Linked DNA regions of Saccharomyces cerevisiae S288C. The gene in region 2 interacts genetically with the main gene of each other region. Each region holds a gene or a part of one and is shown on either strand. Other genes may lie near its edges.

Evidence for each region. A genetic interaction does not mean that the proteins touch.
Region 1: mutations in ZNG1 (region 2) and YEA6 together harm fitness more than expected from each alone (negative genetic interaction), as found in Saccharomyces cerevisiae (one large-scale study listed by BioGRID).

What each region holds. Positions count from the first base shown.
Region 1 is NC_001137.3:142,214-145,834, reverse strand, and holds YEA6 (NAD+ transporter), read right to left. Parts: upstream 1,509-3,621; coding exon 501-1,508; downstream 1-500. Other genes in the region: MIT1 (Mit1p), read right to left, coding at 1,943-3,621.
Region 2 is NC_001146.8:676,533-680,248, reverse strand, and holds ZNG1 (GTP-dependent zinc transferase), read left to right. Parts: upstream 1-1,760; coding exon 1,761-3,050; downstream 3,051-3,716. Other genes in the region: ALG12 (dolichyl-P-Man:Man(7)GlcNAc(2)-PP-dolichol alpha-1,6-mannosyltransferase), read right to left, coding at 1-1,450; peptidylprolyl isomerase family protein CPR8, read right to left, coding at 3,146-3,716. UniProt on the Saccharomyces cerevisiae protein: Zinc chaperone that directly transfers zinc cofactor to target metalloproteins, thereby activating them.

The sequences.
Region 1 (3,621 bases), on a different chromosome or scaffold from region 2:
GAATTGAATTAAAATAGGTTCGGGTAAAACGGATAGTTCTTCAAAAAATACTGTATTTCCAGCGTTTCTAAATAACAATAGCATTTGGGAAAACCTTCTTTTACTATTCGAACAAGAAACAGTTTTTTGTTTAGTTTTTTAATCTGGATATTCAGCAGCTATTTCGGCAGTGCACACCCGCAAGAAAAATATACATAATGCTACAATACTCCTAAAATATTATATAAAGTATGAATAAGGTTCAAGTCGTTCTCACGAGCCAAATGAACCTCAAATCTACATTTCTTCCCCTACGAAATGTAGTGAGATTCCTGGGATGAATAAATTCTTTTTTTGCTCTTTATTTGCAACATACTAAAGGTTTAAAACTACTTGATTTTGCGAGTAGCCCGACGTAAAGAGGAATACATAGTCAAGACAGGGGTCATGAGGTTGAAACAATTGCGAAAGATGCTTTTTACGACCCTCAGCTTGTGTCATGTACATTTTTCTGTTTCACTTTATTGAAAAAAAGTAGTTAAATACTTTTTAGAATATTCAAACGATACTAGTGTTACCACAGCAGCAGGTACTGTCCTTACCAAATTAGTTGCAAACCCAGAGTAAAAGCCGGCGAAGCCCTCTTGCCTATACGTAATTTTAATCAATGGAAGGAGATGGCGTTGAACAGTATTTGGAAGATCGGATTTCAGTTGCATTCGAGTTCGAAGTATTTCGTGAGGATAAGTCACGGTAGATGCTACCATTTTAGATAGCATAGAGGCCAATATTAATTTTTGAAAGTTTGAGCTCGTCACATCTGTCGATACGTCAGTCGATTCTGAATATCCGAACCTTATTTTTAAATTTTCATATAAAGGAAACTGTATAGCAACGTTCAGCATCCCCAGCAGGGCTGGTACTAAGCCGGCATAAAGAGCCTTAGCACCCTCTTGTTGAATGATCTTTCTAAATGTGTCTATGGTACCCTTATAATGGGTGGAATATTTACCGATACCTGTTTGCAGCATAAGTCTTGTTTTTACTACCCAAATCGGATTTGTCGCAACTGTAGAGATGGCACCTGCAGTAATTGCAGAAGAAGCGTTTGAGAGAAACGGACTATGTGGGAAAATATCGACCGAATATTTTCTACAGAAATCATAGACGGAAAAGTAAATCATCAAAGTAGGAATATAACCTAAAACCGTCGGCTGTAGACCTTTATAAAGCCCAGCAGCACCTTCATCCTTGAAAATAGTAGCAAATGTACCAAAAAACCCCTTATAATGTTGACTTTGGTGTGTCATGTTTTGGAGACCTTGTGCTTGTAATCTTGTTTTCGCAACGTCAAAAGGACAGACCAGCATTGCGGATAGTGCACCAGATAAAGCACCTGAAATTGCAGCAACTCTAGGGTCAGCATTCTTTTTCAGCCTATTTAGTTTTGTGGGAATCGCATAATTTCCATTAGCTAGTGACGCATTTTTTGAGTTTTCTAATGTCGTTTTATTGTCTCCATTATTCATTATATAGCCGTGATGTATATTCCGCTTTTCATCAAACAATGAAAATAAGTTGAGAACAACTAATTTCGATGTACGTCCAAATTATATGTTTATTTGCTTATATATCAATTTGCTTATCTTTTCCACTTCATTTTTCCACCAGCGCGAGTATGTCGAGAATCATTTTCGACAGCATCTTCAAAAAATACACTAAGCTATCTTTCGTAGAAAATGTTGACAGAGGGGATTCTTTAATAAAGATATTTTATGATGTCAAAAGGAATAGCTTTTTTCCATAGGCAAATGAAGATGAAATTAAAGGCATGATTACGTAAAGAAGCGAAGTATATAAAACTGTAAAATGAAAAATGATATAATTTTCATGAGTAAACCCGATACTCAAAAAGGCAAGGAGAAGAAAAGAAAATCGGAGTACTTTTTTAAAATATATTTACTTATTGTGTAGTAGTTGAAGTGTTTGTATTGAGGTTGTTCATCGTATCATTATTGGTGATGTTTAAGATATTATTGTTCGCGTGACCCATAGCGAAGTTTTTGTGGTCGTTGGGCTCTTGTTGATAGTGATGATGTTGAGGATCAGATCCAATAGTGCTCAAAGTGTGACCAGAGCTCATTATATTTTGTTGAGGCGTCGCTATTGGATATACAGTGGGCAAAGGATGTTGGTGCTGGTGTTGATACATAGACGGATTTTGAGCACTTGCCATGGCATATTGGGGGAATCCCTGGTAATACACTTGCGATGGAGTGTACTGAGAATTAGCGTATGCAGGATTTGATAGCATGGTGCCTGAGTTAGTGCTTGTAGCACCAGAAGGTTCTGCATTCGTATTTGAAGTAGTATTTTCTTGTGCCCTCTTGTATGCAGAAGCAGAAGAATTGTAATAAGGAACATTCACATTCATAGAATACACCGGATAAGGAGCTGTAGAGGTAGCAGAGCTTGCACTATTATTATTGGCTTGATGGAGTAGTGGCTGCATACTGGATACGGGAAGGACATTCTCGGCTGTACCAGGAGTGCCAGTAGCGCCTGCGGCTGCTGATGCTGATTGACTTTCAGTAGGATGCCCATAATAAGGGTGTTGAGTTGAGGAGGTGGAATAGCCTTGATTCTCGTTCGTTGAAGCGTTTGTTACAGGGTTTGGAGGTTGTGTGGTATAATAGTTAGGATTGTTTATCGGAATTGTTGTATAATAAAATGGATAAGAAATTTGTCCTTGTTGTTGCGGATTAATAAAGTCACCGGTGGTGTTATAAGCAAAAGAGGCGTTATGGAATCTATTTGGATTGTTACCGTTCCCTGCATTAGTATTGACATTATTAATATTATTAATATTATTATTATTGTTATTATTATTATTATTATTATTATTATTATTATTGTTACTATTATTACTATTACTACTGTTATTACTATTATTATTGTTATTATTAACATGTGTATTCATACCAGTAGCGTTAGTGTTATCAGGAGATTGAGTGATATAAGGTGGATTCGCCGTATACATCAAAGTTGTTGATGGTAATGCGGGAGCAAATTGAGTGATTGGGTATCCAGAGCTTTCATCATTTTTATAATAATAATTTTTGTTTGCACTAGTAAATTGATTACTGCCAGCAGCATTTATATTAGCACTATTGTTATTCGTGGAAATAACAGTATTCAGGGGAGTGGAAGAGTTGCTTTTATTGTTTATATTATTAGGACCATTACCGGTGGTAGTGGAATTGTTTTTCACGTTGCCTAAGGTTGTATTTCCCATCGCGACAATTAGTTCCTGTGAAGGTCTAACATCTTTCAAAAAAGGAGAAGCTTTAGGAGTCACTAGACAATTTTGTTTTATATCTTTTACAGAATAATAAGAGACAATATGTAAATTTTCAATCGAGTTGAATGGAGGTCTCTTCAGCTTCACAGATATTGTCTTCTTCACCAGGCCAGTATACTTTAAAGGTAAGTTCGAACGGTTTGATGGAGAAATGGAGGTGTCTTGCTCTGACTCAAAACTTGAATGGCCCATAGTAGGTGGCAAATCAAACTGGTGATTCTTCAAAGGAGGTAGCTTGATTTTCGACGAAGAAGGGTTATTTCTCGCGCCAGAAGTTCCAT
Region 2 (3,716 bases):
TGTTAACTAGCTCCCAATGGTTGGTAGTCTTATTCTCGAATGGCAATTGAGAGGCGGTTGGCTCGTGGGTGATCAAGAAATCAAAGGAGGGCCACATTTCCTGCAGTAAAGTCGTATTTTCAGTCTTATCGTAATTGATGCCGTACACACCGTAGTTCAATTCACCAAATAAAGTGACACCTGTCATGCAAGGAGGTATGCTGATATGAACTGTAGCGTTTGTAATATTTTTTTCCACAATCATGTCATTAAAAGAAGTTAAAGCCTCGCCGCCTGGATAATTCATTCTTGATATATACAAGAACGCCATTGAAATGAAAAAGGAGGTCATTATAGATAAGGGCAATATAGCCAAACATAAAACATTGGTAATCTTTTTTACTTTCATATTCTCCCATAGATGTGCTGCTCCTGTGGCACCTAGCAACATGATAGATGGAACAGCGTAGATGATGAATCTCCATTCTTTGTGAGGTTGAAAGGATAAGACGATAATGTGGAAAAGAGATGCTAGTGAGACAATTTTTAATTTTGCAGGTGCTAATTTATAGCCGAAGTAATTCAATAGTAAAACAGTTGGTGGCATAAACATCATTCTCAAGTAATGCGTGAAATAAGCAGTAACTGGCTCCACACCCCACTTGGAAGCGTAACCCGCAACCACGTTGAACAAGAAACCATCTACCTCAGGTAGACACCATTCTTGCCAGAAATATGAATCAACGGTGATACTGATGGCGGAACCAAGTCCCAAGCCAAAGATACCGAATTTGATAGCATCGAATAAAGAAATCTTCTTGAAGATGACGCTAAATAGAGCAATACCAGCACTGAGAGCTGACACTTCCAGTCTAAATACAATTGCCACGAGCGCAGATAGGAATATAGCTGCATTATAACGACCCAATAAAACCCACCCCAATGCGACGTTGGTTAGAGGCAGAGTCATGACAAAATTAGGCAGAGTCCTAGTGCTGTAGAACATGAGGTGGAAACTGCCAATTAAAAATAAAAGAAACCATGTACCAGCGCTATCGTAAATGTATATATCCTTGTCTTCATTTTCTTCCTTTTTCTTTTCAGTGATTTCATCAAACATATCTTGCAAACAATTCTTTAAATAGATAAAAGAAAGCCCATTGGTGAGGCCAACAATCCCCCTAACGACCAATTGAACATCTATAGACGTAGGCCTGGAAGTTTGGATCAAAGAACTCAAGTAAAGATAAGGTCTCGAAAGCATTGCAATAATCACAGCACCAACGAATGTTCTAGGGACTACTCCAGGAAATTTCAAGTGGTCATATTGGGAGATATCAAATACGCTGTAGGTTAAAATATCATGAATGGCTTGAATATTAAAACTCTCTTCCACCTTGGTGAATGGAGCTTGGATTAGATGAAAGGAAATCACGGTCAATAGCACTGTATCAAGGACAGACCAACGCATTGTCAACTGAATCGTTGTTTAATGGCTTTATTCAACTCTTTTAACAACACTAATCGTTAATGGTTTCACTTGCTATTAGTAAATTCCTTGCGTTATAAACTGTGAAGTGCCACGACATTTAATGCCGGCTGGTAAAAGGTTGTTCATTTTTAAGGGCCGAATTTTTCATTTTCATTTTCATTTTTTTTTTTTTTTCACTATTGGAATAACATGTATATTATAAATATTATATAATATTAAATGTTTAATGCGCTTGTAAAGCCAAGAACACCCTTTTCATTGAGGAATTTTCAACTTTTAAAGCGGAAGAATGTCTGCATTGAGAAACATCAAGTTCAATGAAGAAGAAGATGGTGAACTACCCTGCCTCGTAACAGGTGAAGAAAATAATCTACAAGAAATTTTGGAAAATGTCTCGTATGATGGTGGAAATATTGTTAGCGATGCAAAAGTTGAAAGGGTAAACAAGCAAGTGGAGAACACTTCTGCAGGCGCAACAGATGTGCACGAGAAAAAGCGTATTCCTGTGAGCATTATTACCGGCTATCTAGGATCAGGTAAATCGACGTTGCTGGAAAAAATTGCATTAAAAGGTGCAGATAAAAAAATTGCCGTAATTTTAAATGAATTTGGAGATTCTAGTGAAATCGAAAAGGCTATGACCATTAAAAATGGATCGAACAGCTACCAAGAATGGTTGGATTTGGGTAACGGGTGTCTGTGTTGTTCGTTGAAAAATATAGGTGTTAAAGCCATCGAAGATATGGTGGAGCGTTCACCTGGTAAAATCGATTATATCCTTTTAGAGACCTCCGGTATTGCAGATCCCGCCCCCATTGCGAAAATGTTCTGGCAGGACGAAGGATTGAATAGCAGCGTTTACATTGACGGGATCATCACGGTTTTGGATTGTGAGCATATACTAAAATGCTTAGATGATATTTCCATCGATGCCCATTGGCATGGTGACAAAGTTGGTTTGGAGGGGAATCTGACTATTGCACACTTCCAACTAGCCATGGCTGATCGAATTATAATGAACAAATACGATACTATCGAACATTCACCAGAAATGGTCAAACAATTAAAAGAAAGAGTACGGGAAATAAATTCTATCGCACCGATGTTCTTCACCAAGTATAGTGATACGCCGATTCAAAATTTACTAGATATTCATGCATACGACAGTGTACGGATATCTGACATCTTAGATAGTGGTAGCGGAAACGGTACCATTCATGATGATCGAATGGGCACAATAATGCTTACTTTCAGACCATTAAAAAACGAGGAAGAATATAATAATAAGTTTATTAAGCAATTTTTGCAACCTTTATTGTGGAAGAATTTTGGAGCCATGACAGTGCTGGGAGGGCGTCGCCGAGATGACGGCCGTGATTGGGAAGTACAAAGAACTAAAGGTCTGATACTTATTGAAGGAGAGAACCCCATTGCTCGTGTAATCCAAGGCGTCCGCGACACCTACGATGTCTTTCCAGGCAAATATGACGGATCCAATAAAGAGTGTAAAATTGTGCTGATTGGGAAGTACCTAGAAAAGGAATCCATAGAGGAACTGTTACGTAAAACCCTGGAATGATGGTTGGCATAATAAAGACGAGGTAAGTTATGTATATTTATACGTATGTATGTGATACAAAATGAATGAATATTAAGCGGATGGATCGAAACATTTTAATCCTCTCTAATAGAAACTATTTTAGACGATCTGTTGAATATTCTTTTCCTGTACTTGGCCAAAACGTAGAAAAGTAACAATACCGAAATACCAAGCATAATCTTTGGTAAAGGATGGTGAAGCTGATTATATTTTGCGTCTTCTAACTTTCTTTGACTACCCTGGTATAAATAATTCTTCAATGTAATACCTTTCTCCAAATCGCCGTTTTGGTAATCTTGAAGCCTTTGTAAATACTTTTCGTGAGCTTCCTTTGCATGCTGAATCCTGTGTTCCTGGGATGAAATGTAACCTATTGTTATTGGTTGCTCTGGTTTGCCATTTTCGTCAGTTTTCACATTAGCTAGTTTATCCATCAGATCTTTTAACCCGGCGGTAACTTGGCCAAACACAACACTTTCACCTTCAAGTGGCGTCTCACTGGTCTCAATTATAAACTTAAGACCCTTATCGTCCTTAATCATGGAAACTCTGCCTGGCCTATCATGAATTAAACTATGATTTTCTTCCGGGAGTTTTGGAGCCAACATTTCCGTTTCTTCAATAGAGGAGGAAGAAACGGAGCTA